Schizosaccharomyces pombe: one gene and its partners. The protein of the gene in region 2 purifies or fractionates together with the protein of the main gene of each other region. This does not show direct contact. Each region holds a gene or a part of one and is shown on either strand. Other genes may lie near its edges. The genes, in order: rvb1, tti2, tra1 and tra2.

The links.
Region 1: the proteins of tti2 (region 2) and rvb1 purify together in Schizosaccharomyces pombe (affinity purification with mass spectrometry, with the first as the bait; one study listed by BioGRID). This does not show direct contact.
Region 3: the proteins of tti2 (region 2) and tra1 purify together in Schizosaccharomyces pombe (affinity purification with mass spectrometry; 2 studies listed by BioGRID, with this or other methods). This does not show direct contact.
Region 4: the proteins of tti2 (region 2) and tra2 purify together in Schizosaccharomyces pombe (affinity purification with mass spectrometry, with the first as the bait; one study listed by BioGRID). This does not show direct contact.

Annotation. Positions count from the first base shown.
Region 1 is NC_003424.3:4,922,548-4,926,710, forward strand, and holds rvb1 (chaperone, AAA family ATPase Rvb1), read left to right. Parts: upstream 1-1,699; 5' UTR 1,700-1,716; coding exon 1,717-1,860; exon of another isoform or gene 1,861-1,913; coding exon 1,914-3,140; 3' UTR 3,141-3,518; downstream 3,519-4,163. Other genes in the region: ribosome biogenesis protein Rrp12, read right to left, coding at 1-783; SPOM_SPAPB8E5.08 (uncharacterized protein), read left to right, coding at 1,033-1,344; protein Min8, read left to right, coding at 3,991-4,063, 4,112-4,163. UniProt on the Schizosaccharomyces pombe protein: DNA helicase which participates in several chromatin remodeling complexes, including the SWR1 and the INO80 complexes.
Region 2 is NC_003423.3:3,898,008-3,902,255, forward strand, and holds tti2 (protein Tti2), read left to right. Parts: upstream 1-1,928; 5' UTR 1,929-2,039; coding exon 2,040-2,114; exon of another isoform or gene 2,115-2,158; coding exon 2,159-3,163; exon of another isoform or gene 3,164-3,211; coding exon 3,212-3,535; downstream 3,536-4,248. Other genes in the region: cmp7 (ESCRT III complex subunit), read left to right, coding at 89-367, 411-812, 874-1,542; SPOM_SPBC1604.16C (G-patch type RNA-binding protein), read left to right, coding at 3,625-4,224. UniProt on the Schizosaccharomyces pombe protein: Component of the tel2-tti1-tti2 (TTT) complex that stabilizes protein levels of the phosphatidylinositol 3-kinase-related protein kinase (PIKK) family proteins.
Region 3 is NC_003423.3:1,902,341-1,907,337, forward strand, and holds the start of tra1 (SAGA complex, phosphatidylinositol pseudokinase subunit Tra1), read right to left. Parts: upstream 3,079-4,997; coding exon 1-3,078. Other genes in the region: ubiquitin-conjugating enzyme Ubc7, read left to right, coding at 3,459-3,647, 4,044-4,101, 4,151-4,404; ribosome biogenesis protein Yar1, read right to left, coding at 4,892-4,997. UniProt on the Schizosaccharomyces pombe protein: Essential scaffold subunit of the transcription coactivator SAGA complex. SAGA acts as a general cofactor required for essentially all RNA polymerase II transcription.
Region 4 is NC_003424.3:257,539-262,616, reverse strand, and holds the start of tra2 (phosphatidylinositol kinase-like protein Tra2), read right to left. Parts: upstream 3,007-5,078; 5' UTR 2,899-3,006; coding exon 2,835-2,898; intron 2,774-2,834; coding exon 1-2,773. Other genes in the region: plasma membrane potassium ion transmembrane transporter Trk2, read left to right, coding at 3,156-3,261, 3,302-3,456, 3,497-4,397, 4,433-5,078.

The DNA of each region.
Region 1 (4,163 bases), on a different chromosome or scaffold from region 2:
CAACCCATCCAAAATTTGATAAACAAGAAGAATGGAATTTGTGCTTCGTTGTCCAACAATTAATACGCAGGACCTACATAGCCTTTCGACGAGAGTCATTGGCCAATGTGTAGAAGAACAAAGCACACGAATAAGAACCAAACTATTATTAAGCTTTTGGACTTCTGCAGGAGTTTTGGGCTTTTTGGCAGTAGCGAGCGACTCCAAAAGACGAAGTGGCTCGAATGCAGTATATTTTATAGCAGGATGCTCCGTTACAGGACCTGCCGGAGGATTTTTTAATATGTTGGCCAGAATTTGCAAAGAACGTACTCTCGTCTTCTCAGTATTGGACAATGCAAAGAATAATAAAATATAGATAGAAGTTTTGCAAGAATTGCCATGAGTCCAAGAGCTATAATCCTGAAGAAGTAAAAGCTTCTCCAAAACATTAAGATAGGGGAGAAGGACGGTTTTATTGGTTTCTGCATTATTTACAACTGGAGCAAGGACAGACAAGATCTGGGGAAATTTTGCTTGCAGAACATTAGAGGGCACATACTTAATAACCAATTCCAGTAGTTGAAACGTGTGTCCCTTAAAATTTTTCTTTAAGTCCGTGAATTCCTTAACTAAAGTTAGAAGGGCCACCAAATAAGCAGTTGGTGTCGCCTCAGTTTTTTGCTCCTTCAACGTCCCCTCCACTGCACTAACGATTACATCGAATTCGTTTATGACACCTGCAGTGGAGCTGTTTCGAATCTTTCGAAGTTCAATTTGCAATGGTTCATTCACTTCAGCCATGAATTTTTAACCTGCCCAAACTTTCCCTGTAGGATGGTGTGAAAGACAACTCCACATCAGTGCGAAATTCACAGATATGTTCGCAGTGCATTGCACATCGTTATTTGTTTGGCGAAAAAAGATTGTGAAATTAGGAAATTTCCTTACCAATCTTTTGATGGATCACGATGTGTGGCAGGTTAAGTTTAAATTTATTGATAAACATTAATTCGCTGTTGCTAGACGGAATTGCGGGTATTTTCCTGGTACATGAGAAAATTGAGATGTAAACAAATGATTCCCAAGTTATTACCGTTTATATTCATTTATTTATCTGTCGCTAATAAAATTATGTTTTATTGTATCTTAAATGAGCGAGCGTTTAAGCACTACAAAACCTATCGAAGGATTACAGATTGCCCGGAGATTAAAAATAAAAAAAGCAGAAGAAAAAATCAGCGAAACAGTAGTAGCATCGGATTAAGCAATCCAAACAAGTTTTCAATATATATATATATATATTTTTTTTTTTATTCGTTTTTATGCTCACCGTATTTATTTAAATATATATCGCTATTCTAGGATGGTAGTTAATCAACATATGGGATGTATGTAAATAAGAAAATTATAATTCATTAATAAATCAAGAATAACTTTTTGAAAACATTTAGATGTATTTGCGTTTATTACTTAAGTACTCGTTATAACAGTTTTAGTTACTATTTTTTTTGCATCATATACAGTAAAATAGAATTCCTCAAAAATCGATTGTTAATTTCTGTTTAATTTTTTTTTTTAAAGAAAGAATACACCTCTTTGCTTTATTATTTCATTTCCTGTCTTTTTCATTACCTCAGCTCTACTTTCTTCTTATTTAACTTGGTACTATTTTGCTACACCCAACCCTAATGTCACATTTTGAAAGCAAGCTATCCTCAACCAACTACTTATAAAATGGTCCAAATCAGCGAGGTTAAGGGAAATGGCCGTGATAATAGGATTACTACACATTCACATATCAAAGGTTTAGGCCTAAAAGAAGATGGAACTTGTGAATCTGTTGGTGGAGGTTTCATTGGACAAGAAAAGGCTCGTGAGGTAAGCATTCCTGATAATTCTTTAATATAATGTATTCTAATATATTTTCTTAGGCTTGTGGCATCATCACTGATTTAATCAAGTCTAAAAAATTTGGTGGTAAAGGTGTATTGTTCGCTGGAGGTGCTGGTACTGGTAAAACAGCACTGGCCTTGGCGATTGCCCAAGAACTTGGTCCTAAAGTTCCTTTTTGTCCTATGGTGGGAAGTGAAGTCTACTCTAGTGAAATAAAGAAAACTGAGGCTTTAATGGAAAACTTTCGAAGGGCCATTGGTCTTCGGGTAAAGGAAACAAAAGAAGTGTATGAGGGTGAGGTTACAGAAATGGTTCCCGAAGAAGCCGAAAATCCTTTGGGCGGTTATGGAAAAACCATTTCACACGTCCTTTTGGGCCTCAAAACGCATAAGGGTACCAAACAGCTCAAATTAGATCCTAGCATTTACGAATCTTTACAAAGAGAACAAGTGTCAACCGGGGACGTTATTTACATAGAAGCCAATACAGGTGCCGTAAAGAGAGTGGGTCGTAGCGATGCGTATGCTACGGAGTTCGATTTAGAAGCGGAAGAATATGTTCCTATGCCTAAAGGTGAGGTACACAAGCGGAAAGAAATTGTTCAGGACGTGACTCTTCATGATTTGGATATTGCCAATGCCCGCCCTCAAGGAGGACAAGATATAATGTCTATGATGGGTCAGTTAATGAAGCCCAAGAAAACTGAAATCACCGATAAGCTTCGTGGTGAAATTAACAAGGTTGTCAACAAATATATCGAACAAGGAATCGCTGAACTTATTCCTGGTGTCTTGTTCATCGACGAGGTTCATATGTTAGACATTGAGTGCTTTACTTATCTCAACCAAGCCCTAGAAAGCACTATTTCTCCTATTGTTATCTTTGCCTCTAATCGAGGCATTTGTACCATTCGGGGTACTGAGGATATTCAAGCTCCCCATGGTATTCCTACGGATTTGCTTGACAGATTACTAATAGTTCGCACACTCCCCTATTCAGAGTCAGAAATTCGTTCCATTTTGCAGATACGTGCAAAAGTTGAAAACATCATCCTTACTGATGAGTGTTTGGACAAGCTGGCTCAAGAAGGTTCTCGTACTAGTCTCCGTTATGTTATACAACTGTTGACACCCGTTAGCATTATTGCCAGTTTGCATGGTAACAAAGAGATTGGTGTACAAGATATCGAAGAATGTAACGATCTTTTCTTAGATGCTCGCCGCTCCGCTCAAGTTGTTAAATCATCTTCAGGCTTCCTTCAATAAAAATATTATCCTTAATAACGATCTACCCTTACTTATTTCAACTTTTTGGTTATATGCGAAACTAGCTAGATTTACACAGGTTGTGAATATATATACCTTTTTATTTATAAACTTGTAAATTTTTTTTAAGCTTAACCAATTTCTTCTTTTTTTTATCCAGTTATATTCCTTCCATTCCGGCATTTATTTATACTGTAATCATTTATGAATACCTAAATAAAAGTCAGGATCAATGAATTTATTTAGAATTCAATACCTCCTAGGGTTTTTTTACATGCATGGAAAGACTGTATGAAGTACTTTGCAAAAGCTGCAATCATTCTGTAAATAAACTTAAAATATTATAAGAAGGTGAGTTCTTTTTTTTTTTTTTTTTTTTTTTTAAATTTGAGTTGAATGCTATTTATAAATCTTCTGTTCATTTTTGATTCCTACTTCCACGAAAGGACAAGCTGCCACTTGAGATAAGCAAGTGCTAAAGAACGAATAACAGGCAAAAAACTTCAACAGTAACTTCATAAAGCATGATAGACAAAAAGAGTAATACAACATTTGTAATACGCGGAAAAAAAATTCCCCATCTGCGATAACTGTTTCGTCGTCATTTTAGAAATTGATTATTTACATTGCAACACCATCGATTGAGCAATTTTATCAACACACACAGTACTCTTAGCGCACAGTAAGCAACCCCGTTTGTTATGATATATTAATATGCCTCGTTAGTTCGTCAATATACCACTTTACATAAGTGTGGCCAAAGTAAAGCAATAATGACGAGACCAGGAGGAAGGGCAACCCAATATAAGTTGAAGAGAAGACTTTGAATGCTTAACTATTAAGTGTACAAATGGCAGTTTTATCAAGAATTATGAAACCTTACAGGGCCTTTCAAAGGCTTCCTTTTGAGCTCAAACCTCTGGGTTAGTTACTGAGAAAACCGAATTTGTCAAATCACTAACGAATTTTAGCAATCCTCATTGGAATTGCTGGGTCCACTGCAATATTTACCATGGGATATAA
Region 2 (4,248 bases):
ACAAGTGACAAGTCACCTCATACCATTAATTCTGTTTGAAAACTGTATATAGTAAACCACGCAGGTAGCTTCAGGAATATACGACAGAATGGGAAAAAAGGAGAAAGTCAATGCTTTGGAATTTTCTGTTAATAAAGGAATTTTTACAAAAACTCGTTTAAAAAGCCTGTATTCTGACTTTACGAGTCTGTTTATAAAAAATCCTGAAGGATTTTTGGCAAACGTAAATACTTGGAGAGAAGCAATTGAAACATCCGCATGGTCTGGGAAGTTGAATTCTAGGATAATCTTAGTTTTCGATGAGACTTTTGAAAGTGCGTTTTCAAGTCCTGCTTTAGGTAGACCTTTGAGCCTTGGTGCTGTTGCGGTACGTGAATTAAGCATTTTTTTTGAAGCTAATAAGCATATAGGCTTACTGGATCCAGCAAGGGGTTTGGCTTCGTAAGCAAGACTTTTTGAACGATTGTAAAAAAGGAAATTTAGTAAGAGAAGACGGTTTTTCTATTTTTTCAATTCTACGGTGGAGTTTTCAGAAACTTGGGTTTCAAAATCAAGCCTCATCCATATTGTCAAATAGATCCCCGAGTGGGCAGTATGTAATTCGAAAAAATATTGAGAAACTTGCTTGCCTTGTACACAATGAAGCAATGCGACGGTGCAGCAGCTATACGAGTGCAATTTATACTTGGGACTTTTTTCAAGATACTTTTGGAAGCTTATACTGGGAAGAAGGAAAATTAAACAAGGATGAGATGGAATGCCTTCTTAATTGGATGTGCTATCAAAAACATGTTTTAATATTTGATTCTAAGGTAAGTTCAGATTATATGTTTTCTCAGCTATTTGTCGATACCGTTTTTTTAACGAGAATAGATAATCAAGTTTTTACCCAACAGCCAAATTGATGCTCAATTAGCTTCAATTGATAAGTCTATTGATGGGTCTGTTGCAGATCTGATACAGGCTAGGGCATCCATCGCCCAAAGATCAGAATTTTTAAACGAGGAATTGGAGCAACTTTCACAAGTGCTAAACCAAGCAGTTAAAAAGGGAGAGAAAACAATAGCAATAACTTATTTACGTCGAAAAAAGATTTTGTCTAAAGATTTGGAAAGGAAAGTTTCTTCGCGTCTGCAATTAGATACTATAATTTCTAATATTGATAATGCGGTTGACAACAAAATTTTGCTTATTGCAATGTCTTCTGGCTCTGAAGCTCTAGACGCAATTTTAGCTCAAATGGGTGGAACTGAAAAAGTGGAAGATGTCTTAGAAAACGTAAATGATACACTGGCTCGTTCGGAAGAGATTGATGCAACTATTCAAACTTACAATCCTCAAAACATTGATTTAGAGGATGAAGCCGTTGAAAAAGAATGGCAGGATTTGGTAGCTGAAGAACAGAAGGTTGAAGATATCGTGTCTACATTAGGCAATGTTTCTCTAAAAACACCATCTGATACTTTTACCCTTACTAATACTGACTCGGATAAAAAGACTTCGAAACCGGAGAAGATTCAAGCTGAGCTGGTTGAGCAATAATTTATATACGTCCTTTTTTAACGATCACTTAAATTCACGGGAAATGGTTTGGTTTACTAATAATTTATGCACATACTAAAGAATAAATGAATACTATAAAAACATTTTTCTTGGTAATAACTATAAAAAACAATAATGCTTATATACTCAATAGAACTTATATAGCTAAAGCGATAAGGTAAAGTACCTGTGTAATGAATTGATGTTAGTTACTAAAAATTTTGCTTTTTATACCTTTAAAAACTAGTAAATTGTTAATTTATTAAATTGATTTCTTGGCAACGACTTAGAAACTTACAGTATATCACATACTCTATAAGTTTATATTATTAGTGTATGACCATAGCTTAACATGAAATACTTTTTTCATAGAATTTAAGTTCTCTAATAACTAAGTGACATTACAATTCTGTTAATATTCTTTGTTTACAAATCAAACAAATAATAAAACATTAGACTTAATAATTATCTAATAGAAGTTTAAATTGGCAATATCTATGCAATATTACAAAGAGCTAGCTAGGCGATTGCATACTCTACAATCAAAAAATGAAAAAGAAGCTCTTGAAAAAGTACCGTTTTTAATTCACTATTTTCAAATTTTAACCAAATATAGCAAATAGACTTTTTGGACAAATTGGTGGTAGAGGTGGACTCGTTGGTTCATGAACAAGATTTGAGGCCATTATTAGAGTTCATTAGCCCTACTGAAAGTTGGTTTTTACTGGGTACGGCGACAATTTTTTATATTAAATTATTAACTCATCCAGACCCTGAATCGATTGATGTAGTGATTAAAGAAGCGTATGTTGTGCGCGCTCACCGGATATTAAGCATTTTTCAAGAACAGTTTATAGAAAATGTTGTTAAAGAGATCAATTGGGAAATCCTAGCTATTTTAATATCATTAAGTGGAATCGAGAATGGACTTGTACGCAATTTGTCAGAATTCCTCTCAACTTCAATCCTCAGCGCTGTTCCTAGACAAAAATTCTTATTATATCTTCTAGAAAAGTATCAAATAAATCTTTTTCATAGAGAAGAACGGTTGACAGATCAAGGTAGACCGGTTGCATTTGAATTACCACCAGACAAATTTCACAGTGATCAAAGTAAAGCACTTCTTGAGCCAAAGTGGAAAACAAAAAATTATCTCATTTCTCACCTTATTTTTTGGATAATTGATCAGCAAAGTTCTTCTAGCATTGAAGTATGTTGGCACAGAATCATTCCATCTGTACTCCGAATATTGAATGATTTATCTCCAAACATTAAACTACAAGGAATTGAGCTAGTCAACAGATTGTTAAAAATTACGGAAAGAGAATTTCTTTTATATACTGGAATTCTAAAAATTTTGAAGGACGATTTGCTCGTATTCTATACTTTCATACCGCCAAGATTTACAATTCAAACGAGTGTTACCCTTATAAATGCCTCCTTCGCAACCCTAGTTTCTCTTTATCCTGAAGAAAATGAAAATTTAAATTCTATTATGCTGAACGGTATTAATTCTGTGTTTCAGTTTGCATTCGATTATCCCCTGATTCTTCAAGCCGCATTTTCTCAAATTATGGTTTTAACTGACAAAATGAATGTTAGTTATTTACCATACCTAACGGTAATAATTTAAATTCGTTACATTTGAAAGTTTACTAATCGCACTTAGTTGACTCTGGATGAACTGTGTCGTATAATACAAAACCCACAAATCATACAGATACCATCGACACTCTCCTTTTTTTTAGAAATATTAACAAAACTATTGGAAATTTACAGTTATCGAATATCTGCACACCATGTTGAGTTATTAATGGCACTAGTGGTTTGCAGTAGAAATTATATGCGATGTAACTTACAAGAGCATCACAATGCAATTGTACAAGCGCTTCAAAACCTCTTCACTTTGATAAAATTGAACATAACTGTTGAGCAACTCGGTGATTACAATGTAATATTGCCACTGCTTGAACCCCTGCAAATCCCACTTTGAGGTACATATAAGGAAAGACTCTCCTCATTACTAACCAACCTTCAACCTAGATAAATTGGTAACAATGGTTATTCGAAAAACGATGGAAAATGGAGAATAAAGGAAATATGGAGCTGTCAAATTCTTATGGTTTTTATAAAAATGGTCGTAGGGTTTCATTCGTAAAAGCCACTAGTGAACAATCGTTGGACGAAGCCACTTTTATTGAAAAAGGATCGGCACAAGCATTTTATCATTCGTTATTTGAAAATGATAGGGATAATTCGCATACTATGAACAGCAAGAGGGACGAAGCTGGTTTTGCTTGTGAAGTGTGTCAAATATACATTCCAAATAGCAAAAAAATTAATCATTTTAAATCAATGACTCACCTTCTTTCTTCACAACATATTTCAAACAAATTTCAACCCCATTTATTAAAACCAAAAAGCCTTGGTTATCGAGTTCTTTCTCAGTATGGTTGGTCTCCCCAAGGAGATACTGCTGGATTGGGTTTGGAAAATCAGGGTCGTCGTGCCCCGGTTAGAGCATTTCGTGTAAAAAATGATACGATTGGACTCGGTACCAAGATTGATTTGGAGAAAGTTGCAGTAAATAAATGTCGCAAAGGCAAGCGTCAGTGCCAAATCCAACACTCAAAGGATGTACGCCTTAAAGAAGCTTTAATTAAACATTTTTCGTCTAATTGAGTTTATCCTTCTTGCATATGTCCA
Region 3 (4,997 bases), 2.0 Mb from region 2:
ATTGATGGTTTCTCGAGCTTCAGCTACAAATTCCACACAAGACATTGAGCCGACTAAAGATTTAAAAATGTTTGAGACAATAGATCTTTGCAGATAATAAGATTCATCTTTGTCAGGGCACAACCTACCATTAGAGACTTGCTGTAAGTTTTTATCCATGCGATCTACAACTGCTCGGCACATTGTATCAATAGATTCCCAAAAGTCTTCATCGGGCTTCGCAGACGCAAAGAGTAATAAATACGAATTCTTGACCATTTGAAATGCTTGCTTCTTTTCTTCTAAATCGGAATTTTGATTGTTTAAAACAGCACATGAAGACATTAAAAATTTGGAGTGCTCTAAGCTAAAATTCTGAGAGGAGCCTTGGAAAGAAAACTGGATTGAAGGAAAAATATTTTCATCTTGCAAAAAATCAAAGCCAAAGGTACCAAGATATATTTGTCTATTTCGACCACCCATTTTTCCTAATATTCTCACAGCACTTTGATGCAATTGATTATTGGATTGATTAAGGCGTGAATGATTCCACAGGCATATCAGCAAATCCGGCATAATTGAGTCCAATAAAGGATCCAAAAATTCTTGAGTAAGATTATCCAAGCAAAGTTCAAATATTCGAAGCCCTTGACTAGCTATTTCAGGGGGGCCTTTTAATGCAACAATCAATGGCTTCATTAAAAAATTCATATGAGGCAACAACACACTGAGTCTAATGGGTAAAGTCAAACAAAGTTCCGCATACAGCTCTTTTTGGGATGTAGACGTAACAGTAAAAATCAATCTGTTGAAACATTCTAGCATTACTTGGAGAAGTGGTAGTATTTCCTTGTAAAGAGAATCAAATTTTCCTCCACTGATATTTCTAAACAAAGCTTTCATTAAATAAACGTAATTTAAAGGTTCAACAGCATCAGTAGTCAATTCGAGGCTAGTTGAAATGATATAGGATATATGGGGACGCAGGACTTCTGCATTTTTTTCGGGAAAAACATTCACAGTCATAAAGGCCAACTTGAATAATCGCAATAAAACAGAAACCCGAGTGGATTGGCCAGACCCTATTTTAGCTAGATTGTCACAGCAAAAAGACAGCACGATGCCCGTGCAGTTGACAGAAGTAACTTCATTAGACATCCAAAATTGGAAAATATGCAATAAAGCAAGATTATCTACTAGACACTCAAATATATTCGGAAACTCGGATTCCAAAATTTCGACGAAAACAGATGGGTCCAAGTGTAAAAATAAAGTTGCTAACATTTCTAAGAGCTCCTTCTCTTCTAAGAGTTTAGAAGGGTTTGTGGTCAACGAAGAATCAAGTTGAGAGTATGCAAGATTTTTCGAGGACTTGAATACACCGGTTTTTTCATCTGTCTGGTAATAACTGAATCCCTTTAAACTTTCCACAAGTAATCTTCGAAACAGTAAAACTTCATTAGTTGAACTAAGATGTAACTTTTCAGACCATTCCTGAGCTGTAAAAATGGAACCGTTGGCAAGAGGAATATTTCGTTGCTTTAGTCCAAACAAAACAGGCTTAATACCTAATAAGGTGTTTTTAAAAAGAAATATGCAATCTTTTAGCTTATCCAAACCTGAAGGTTGGGCAGCTCCAGTAGGGTTCTCAAACATAGGAAGATCATGTTTATTTTCTTCTATTTTAATTTGCTTTAAGTCAGCATTTTCCTGTAAAGAATCTCTCAGCTTCATAAACTCGAAATTCAGAGAAGTCAATTTTCTTAAGAGACATAAAAGTATAGCAAATAGAAGTGATCGGCTAGTGGAAAAATCTTCTAGTGCAACAATTCTTTCAACCAAGTTTAAAATAAGCTTTGTAGCCATTGCCTGAATAGCTGAAGTATAAAAGTCGTCCATCAAAATACTGAAATAAAGAAGTATGACTTTGTAAATTTGTTGTGGACTTAATTCCATACGCACATAATGAAGCATATCTGCCAGCATGCTAAAAGCCATGGGTCGTAATGAATGCTGAGAAGTGATTCCAGAACCAACTAGAATTTTGGTATCAAGTAGTTGATCTACATACGGTAGAAACCCTCTCAAATAATCCGTCGATAAGACGTGCCTTGTAGCTACCAAAAGTTCTCTTCGAGTCTGATATAATTCGGAAGGACAGTCCATGAACAATTGCAAGGTACATATTGGGATCGAGCTTTCAAACTGTTTAAGAGCAGCACCAAAACTTCTCAATAAATAGGCGAGAAAAGAGAATGATTTAATTTGCGCAGAAATAAGGTCATTGTAAAGATGATTTCGACGCAAAGAAGGGACTACACCAATAAAAACCTCTTTTTGAGATTCTGCAAGTCGACGAGCTTCGGCTTGAGGTGGAGGACGAAGTGAGATAAATTGAAGTACAAGCGGAGCAAGTAAAGGAAGCATTTTCGGAATAAGATCTTTGTATGTTTGAAATAGGAGAAAGACGATAATGGGAAATTCAGCAGTGACCTTGAAACTCGAAGAAGCTTTTGGGATCATTTTTGGACCTGCATGTTCCATTCCAATTTCAGCAGGAGATGCAGAAGATGCAGCAGACATGGGATGAGAGGATGGAGTATTCGGAGCTGATCTAGGTGGGAAAGCTTCTGAAACAACTGTGGTCATGGATTTGTAGTTTTCAACGACAATGGATAAAAATTCCTGAACATGTCCCTTAGCAAGGCTACTGTGGTCCTTAAAAAGAAGGACAACAAGCTTCAATGCCAACACTGCCATCTCTTCATTATCATTAACGACTATACGAAGAAGCACGGCAAAAGTCCGATTAACGAATGCTTCAAAACCTTTATAGGATCCAGATTTCTTGAGCAATTCAAGCAATGCAATGCGTAAACGATGTGTAGCTGCTAACGATGAAAATACAGGACGTTCCTTTTCAAGCAAAGACAACGTGTCCTCCAAAAGAGGAATGAAAGTTTCAAAATTCGTCTTTTCAGTTACCAACACATCATCCAGTGCATCTCGAATTTCAATTGCTGTGTTTGCCTTTTGCTTCGAGTCTAATCCAACATCACAAAGCCGATTATGCCAATGTTCGCATTGTGATACATCCATCAGATGCTTGGATCTCTGCGCAAGCTCTTTTTTAAATTCCAATTGCACTCGGATACGTTTTCCTAAGTATTTAACAATTACTATTGGAATGTTGTGGGATAGAGCAAGCTGCATTTCTTTCCTCTAAATCACTTTATGAATTTTACATGTTTTCGCTATTTTAATTAACGGCCTTATTATTTTGTGCGGTAGAAGTTGCTAAAATGATGAACGAGATAAAAATAGCGAGTGATACCACAAAAGTTCGTTTAGCCTCAGCTGCATAATTTGTCGTAAACAAACCATTCATTCATTAATCTGTTCATTACCATTTTTAGGCTACCTTTTAGTCAGTGATCTTTAATATATCTTACCGATTAGTAAGTTAATTGATTTCCAAAATGAGTAAAGCTATGGCGTTGCGACGGTTAATGAAGGAGTATAAGGAGTTAACGGAGAATGGGCCTGATGGTATTACTGCAGGTCCATCGAATGAGGATGATTTCTTTACTTGGGATTGCCTAATTCAAGGCCCTGATGGAACTCCATTTGAAGGTGGGTTATACCCTGCTACCTTGAAATTTCCTTCCGTAAGTCCTTTACTATAAACCTGATGGAGACTGAACATGTGATTTAAGTTGTGGATAAGTATGATGTTTCGCATGTTTTATGTATCAACTACTTATTAAAAAATACGCGCTCTTTTTCATAAATTAACATTTGTTCAGCGTAAATAAAGAAAGTAACTCAATAATCCATTCGTTTAGAATGATCATTTAAGAGAAGTGCTTTTATTCATTAGTAATTGATGAATCCTTCGATTTATTGATGAGTAGGAAGAAATTTTATTTAAAAGATCTATCTAAGTTTTTTTTTGGGGGTTTGGTTTCTTTCTTTGAATCGCATGGCAGTACATCCGGGGTGTTCAAGCGCACGTTGATACGTGCTTAGTTTTATTTTTATTGGATTCTAACTTTTTTATGTAGGATTATCCTCTTGGCCCCCCTACTTTAAAGTTTGAGTGTGAATTTTTCCATCCAAATGGTATGCCAGATACTATTAATCCAAATTTCGAGACTAACCTTCATTTCAGTTTACAAAGATGGGACGGTTTGCATTTCCATCCTACATGCACCTGGTGACGATCCAAATATGTATGAGTCGTCTTCAGAACGTTGGTCTCCTGTTCAATCTGTTGAAAAAATACTGTTATCGGTAATGTCGATGTTGGCGGAACCAAACGATGAAAGTGGTGCTAACATCGATGCGTGCAAGATGTGGAGAGAAGATCGAGAAGAATATTGTCGTGTAGTTCGACGATTGGCTCGTAAAACCTTGGGATTATAACCATGAATTGTATATTTGATTAGATTGCCATGAATAACGAACCTGATAAAATCTAGAAATAAAGTTTTGTTCCATTTTTGAACGCAACCGGTAGGCTTTTCTCTTTCTATTCCAACGTATAACGCTACATAGGTTTAATTACAAGGTTTAAACAAAAATGAAAGCACTTTTCCAATTCAATTTCTATCTGTAAATGATGGAAGATAAACATTTTGTCTATTGAGATAATCCATCTTTTAATAAACATCACTTGAACTTTCTACACAGATACATGGCAACGTACATCGCTGAAAACGAATTATATTGAGAAAACATCTAGAAATTACACAGTAAAAAACTTAACAAAATATAAGAATAACCCCAAATTATGCTCCAAAAGAAAAAAAAAATGCATCAGGTGCATAAAAATATTAGCTTCCCACAACCTACAAAAGAAAGAGGTAAATTTTTTTACAAAATAAAAATCAGAAATTATCAAATAAAACGATCATATTCCATCTTCCAATTTTTCTTCATCACCAGTGTTTTCTTCACTACCTTTAGCAATCTCAAAATCCAGAAAAAGGTCCATTACTTTTTGCTGATTTCGAATA
Region 4 (5,078 bases), on a different chromosome or scaffold from region 2:
CTGTTAGTAGCGTCACTCTTATAAACATAGAGCTTTGAAATATTGCAAACATAAGTGAACGCTTGTTGCTTAACCTCCAGATCACTAGAAGGGCTAGAAAGCAAATTCACAGCCTCATCAACATATTGGGTGTAATGTAAAAGTTGTGGTTGTTTAACCCCTTTTATCGAAAGAAGTAAAGTAAAATCGTTATTCGGTTCCGGCGAATTCTTTAAACTCTGGACTCTATCAAGAAGCTTCCTATTTCTTCCACCAAGTTTACCAAGTATTTTCAAGGCAGTATGGCTGTGATTATAATTATAAGGAAGAGGTTGTAGATGACTCCATAAAGCATTCATTAGATCTTCTATGTAAGGAGCCATTATCGGATCCAAAAAATCAGGAGTGAGATTATCCAAGCATAATTCAAAGGTTCGTAATCCCTGACTAACTAATTCTTGACTGCTTTTTAAAGACATGACGAGAGGTCTCATTAGATAACTCATGTATGGTAATAAAAGACTAAGCCTTACAGGAATAGTAAGACAAAGTTCGGTAAAAAGGTCTTTCTCCTTCGGAGTACGGGCAGATATAAGCAATGAATTAAATGCCTCTAATAGAGCGTGCAACAAAGGCATTACTTCTTTATAAAGGCTTTCAAATCTTCCCCCACCAATTCCTCGGAACAACGCTCTTAATAGATAATAGTAGTTCAATGAATTAGCAGAATTGGGAGCCAACTTCATACATTTCACAATAATTTCAGATACATAAGGCCGAAGAACTGGCTCATTCTCTGTTGCAAACATTGAGACTGTAACGAAAGAAAGACGAAACAAACGCAACAAGACAGAACCATGCCTGATGTCAGAAGATCCGAGTTCCTCAATTCTGGAAAGCAGAAATCGAAGTAAAATATTTAAAAATTTTGATGATGTGCTCTCATTTGAAAGCAAAAACTGTGGAATGTGAAATAATGTGAGATTTTTTTTAAGTTGATCAAAAAAAGTAGGAAGGTTTGTTTCAAAAACTTTAAGAAATATAGATGGCTCGAGATGTATAAAAATGGTAGCAAATACTTCAAGACAATCTTTCTCGTCTTTGTTACGAGGAAGCGTAGATATAGCAGGGCGATCTAAACTTTCTTCTTCGCAGCAGAAAAAAGTTTCTAAATAGACTTGCTCAGGTCGAAAATATGAGAATCCTTTGCCAACCTCAAAAAAAAGCTTCTGAAACGTAACAGCTTCGAAAGGCTTGATATTCGTAAGGAATCCCGAAAATTGTTCACCTCCAATTTCTATGCATCGAGACTTGCATGTACGAAGCCCATACATAAGAGCCCGTAAGCCAAACATCAAGTTTTTAAAAAGAAATGATCCATCATTGACGGAAGTGCTAAATGAAGATAAATCCCTAGGAGAAGAACGCGTCGGTGACTTTGTCTCTTTAATTTCTTCTTCATACTTTTTCTTAAAAAACTGATCCAAACTATCATTAAGTTCCGAAAACTTATTTACAAAGCTATCAAAAATAGATAAAAGAAGAAATATAGCATCGGGGATGCTAGGAAGACTAATCATTCTGTCAACCATGTTTAAAATGAGCCGGGCACCCATAGTCTGTAACCCAATGCTAAGAGTCAAATCATGCATATTGGTCGAATAAATCATTATAGATTTTCTTATTTGCGTTTCGTTAAGTTCGTCACGTACATGATGAAGTAAGTCAGCTAATGTACTAAATGCCAAGGGACGTAACAGCTTTTGAGTACCAACTCCATTTCCTAATAATATATTTAAATCTAACAAAAAATCCAGCTTTTTGACAAAAAGAGATTTTAAGTTTGTTGACAGAATATGTCTCGTAGCAACCAGCAGTTCTTTACGGGCAAAACACATATCAAAAGGGCATCGCCTCAAAAGCTTTATTACAATGTCCGGTATTATATCCTTCTCAGAAAGTGTATTGGGATGAGTTCGTAAAATATAAGCCAAGAAAGATAAAGTCTTTACTTGAGCCATAAAAAAATTACGGTACTGATATTTATTCCTTATAAACTCAATAAAGTCAATGCTTGAATCTTTTTCAATCATTGCATATGAAGCGATGTCTATTGGAACATCAATTTGTACCATCTTAAGAAAACAGGGAATTATGGCTTGAACACCAGGGAAAGCAGCTTGACGATATGCTTGAAGAATCAAAACTATAATGACCGGACACTCTACATACACGCGGAAACTTTGAGAAGCCAGTTCCAAAGGTTGAGTAGAAATAGCTAAAGAATTGACACGCTGTTGGATGATTGAAGTTTCCGTAGACAGATAACTACCAAAAGCCAGGGTTGTATTTTCCTCTTCATTTGATTTTGGATTCTCGACAAATATTGAGGGAATTAAATAAGGAAGGTTTGTAGAAAGCTCAAGTACCAAGTCAAAAAAGGGTTGTGCAGTGCTTTCTATACAAAACTTAAAAGTTTTGAATATATCCATAATAACTTTTAAGCAAAAAACAGCGACTTCTTCATTATCTGCTTTAATCAAGCTAATGAACGAAAGCACACAAGACTGCGCATATTGTTTAAATTCATCACGGTGAGCGCAACTTTGTATTAAAGTCAATGCTTCGATCTTGAGTTCATTGACAGAAGAATTTCTATAAAGATTCACCTCTGTATTTCGTAAAAAATCCAAGAGTAGTGGAATTAATTCTGCATACAGCTGCGAGGCGTCTGAAGATATGCTAGAAACCTTAGTAATTAAAATTTTAGTTAGTTTGATTTTTTCTTCTATTTCTTAAAAAAAGTTAGTATAAAATAAAAAAATGAATCAAAATATCTACAAAAATTTATATACCTGTACTTTCAGCTTTCAGTAGCTCTATAGAGCTGCTGAGCGACTTTTCAAAACCGTCTTCCATAACAAAGTTCGGTCCATGCAGATACTTTTTAATAAATCTTTGAAACCAAACTTGATACACTACGAGATTTTGGACACAGCTGTAAAAAAGCACAGAACGATTACTGTCAGATGTTGTTTAGTTGTTGCTATGTTCAAGGTGAATCGTATAGTGAGGACGCAAAACTGCACTATTCAAGAAGCCACTGAAGCTATTTGAAATCGACGTGAGTGTAATTTTTATCAAATACAATATAATACTGCTTTATAAACTATGACATGTTTGTACGATATAGAAGGTTTTTAAGAAGGAAAATATTATACAGATTTTATCATGCAGTTATCGGGTTTTTCTACAAACGGTTCCGGTTCCTTGAATACCATTGTATGTGAAAAACTTCTTTTCAAGCCTAACTTTGTTCAAGATTCTTTTATAATAGGAATGACTATTTTATGTTCAGTAATATTGTATGGGTCGGGAAATTTGCGCTACATAGATGCTTTGTTGTTGGCTTCTGGTTCTTGTACTCAGACTGGCTTGCAGCCTGTGGACCTCACGCAGATATCCATTTACCAACAGGTATGCATATTTTTAAATAAATTTTTTAACTATTTTTTAGTTAACTATTCTCCTTTTTGGAGTTTTGAGTACACCAATTACTGTGAACCTGGGCTTGACTTTGTTTAAGCTGTACTTCTATAACAAGCGATATGACATGGTCATAACAAATAATAAACTTAGGATGACATATACTTATCACACTGTAAGAAGAAGGGATACTCCAGAGCCTTCCAAAGTTGGCAATCGAAAAATTCGGGTTTTGTTAGACCAGGGTAATCAAATGCACCGGCCAGTTGCCCCAGAGACTAAGGCTGAGGAAGCTGAACACCAAGAGAATGAAAAACATCACAGGCACCATTTTCGTCTAAGGAAATTTGCTAATGCAATCGATCGCCCAAGCTTCTTTCGCGGGAATACCATGCCCGCTCTCCCTAGTTATGCAGGTGTTAGAAATTCTCAAGAAAATGAAGACAGAACTGAAGCATTAAGTCCAGCTCTTGGGAAACGAAGAATGGCATCAATCGACAATGGATCTTTATCCGTTGTACAAAACAATGCTAGAAATAATCCTGTCGACTTTTACATTCCTAGTTCGTTTGAAGAATCATCTTTTCAAACAATTCCTGAGGATTTTGAGCCTCAAGTACATGACCACGAGAATCAAACACAACTGAACCATCATCTGGATAACAACAGTTCTATCTCTTCGCACAATCCTTCCCTAGAAACTGCAAATGATGGTAATCAGGAAACTGTTTCATCCTCAAACTCAAACTACAGCACAACAAGAGTTGACAATGATCCACATGTAGCATCTTATTCACCTCAAAATTCGAATTTTGATCATCAGGCTGCTGCAACTACTAACGATGCACATCAAAATGTAGTACGCGGCTCTGCAATTACCATTGCACCAACCCCTGTTCCCAGGCATAATCGCAGGCCTATATATTTTGCTGGTAAGTCATTCCGTGATTTTAATATTGACCTTTAGATGACACGAATGGAGCTGAGCAGGAAAAAGGTGCTCATCGACTTGATGGACGAGGTAGAAAACGTGGTAAATCATTTGCTGTTACACCTACACTTCACAGGAATGAGCGCTCAATGTCTGTCCTACCATTTCAATTAGCCAAATCATTTACATCTGCTCTTCCTCGAAGACTCACATTCAACCGTACTCACACGAAAGCTAGCACAATGAGTTTACCTTATTTATCGTACAATGCAACAGTGGGCAGAAATTCTGCATTTTATGCCTTAACTCCAGTGGAGAGAGAAGAATTGGCGGGAATTGAATATGAATCTCTCAGGATATTGACTGTCATATTAGTGGTTTATTTTCTGTTTTGGCATATTCTTGGTTTGGTTGCGTTCCTAATATTCATTTATACTGCTAAAACATCCGGTCGTGTAGTTACGGACGGCGGTATAAATAGAGGCTGGTGGGCAGCGTTTACTTCTAGTTCGCTGTTTGATAATCTAGGCTATTCGTTGAACAGCGATTCTTTAAATTCCTTTCAAAAAGCCATATTTCCTCAGGTTCTTGGAACTATTCTGATATTTTTAGGGAATACTTTCTTTCCAATTATGCTCCGGTTTATAATTTGGATTATGATACGAACAACGAGATTTTCGCC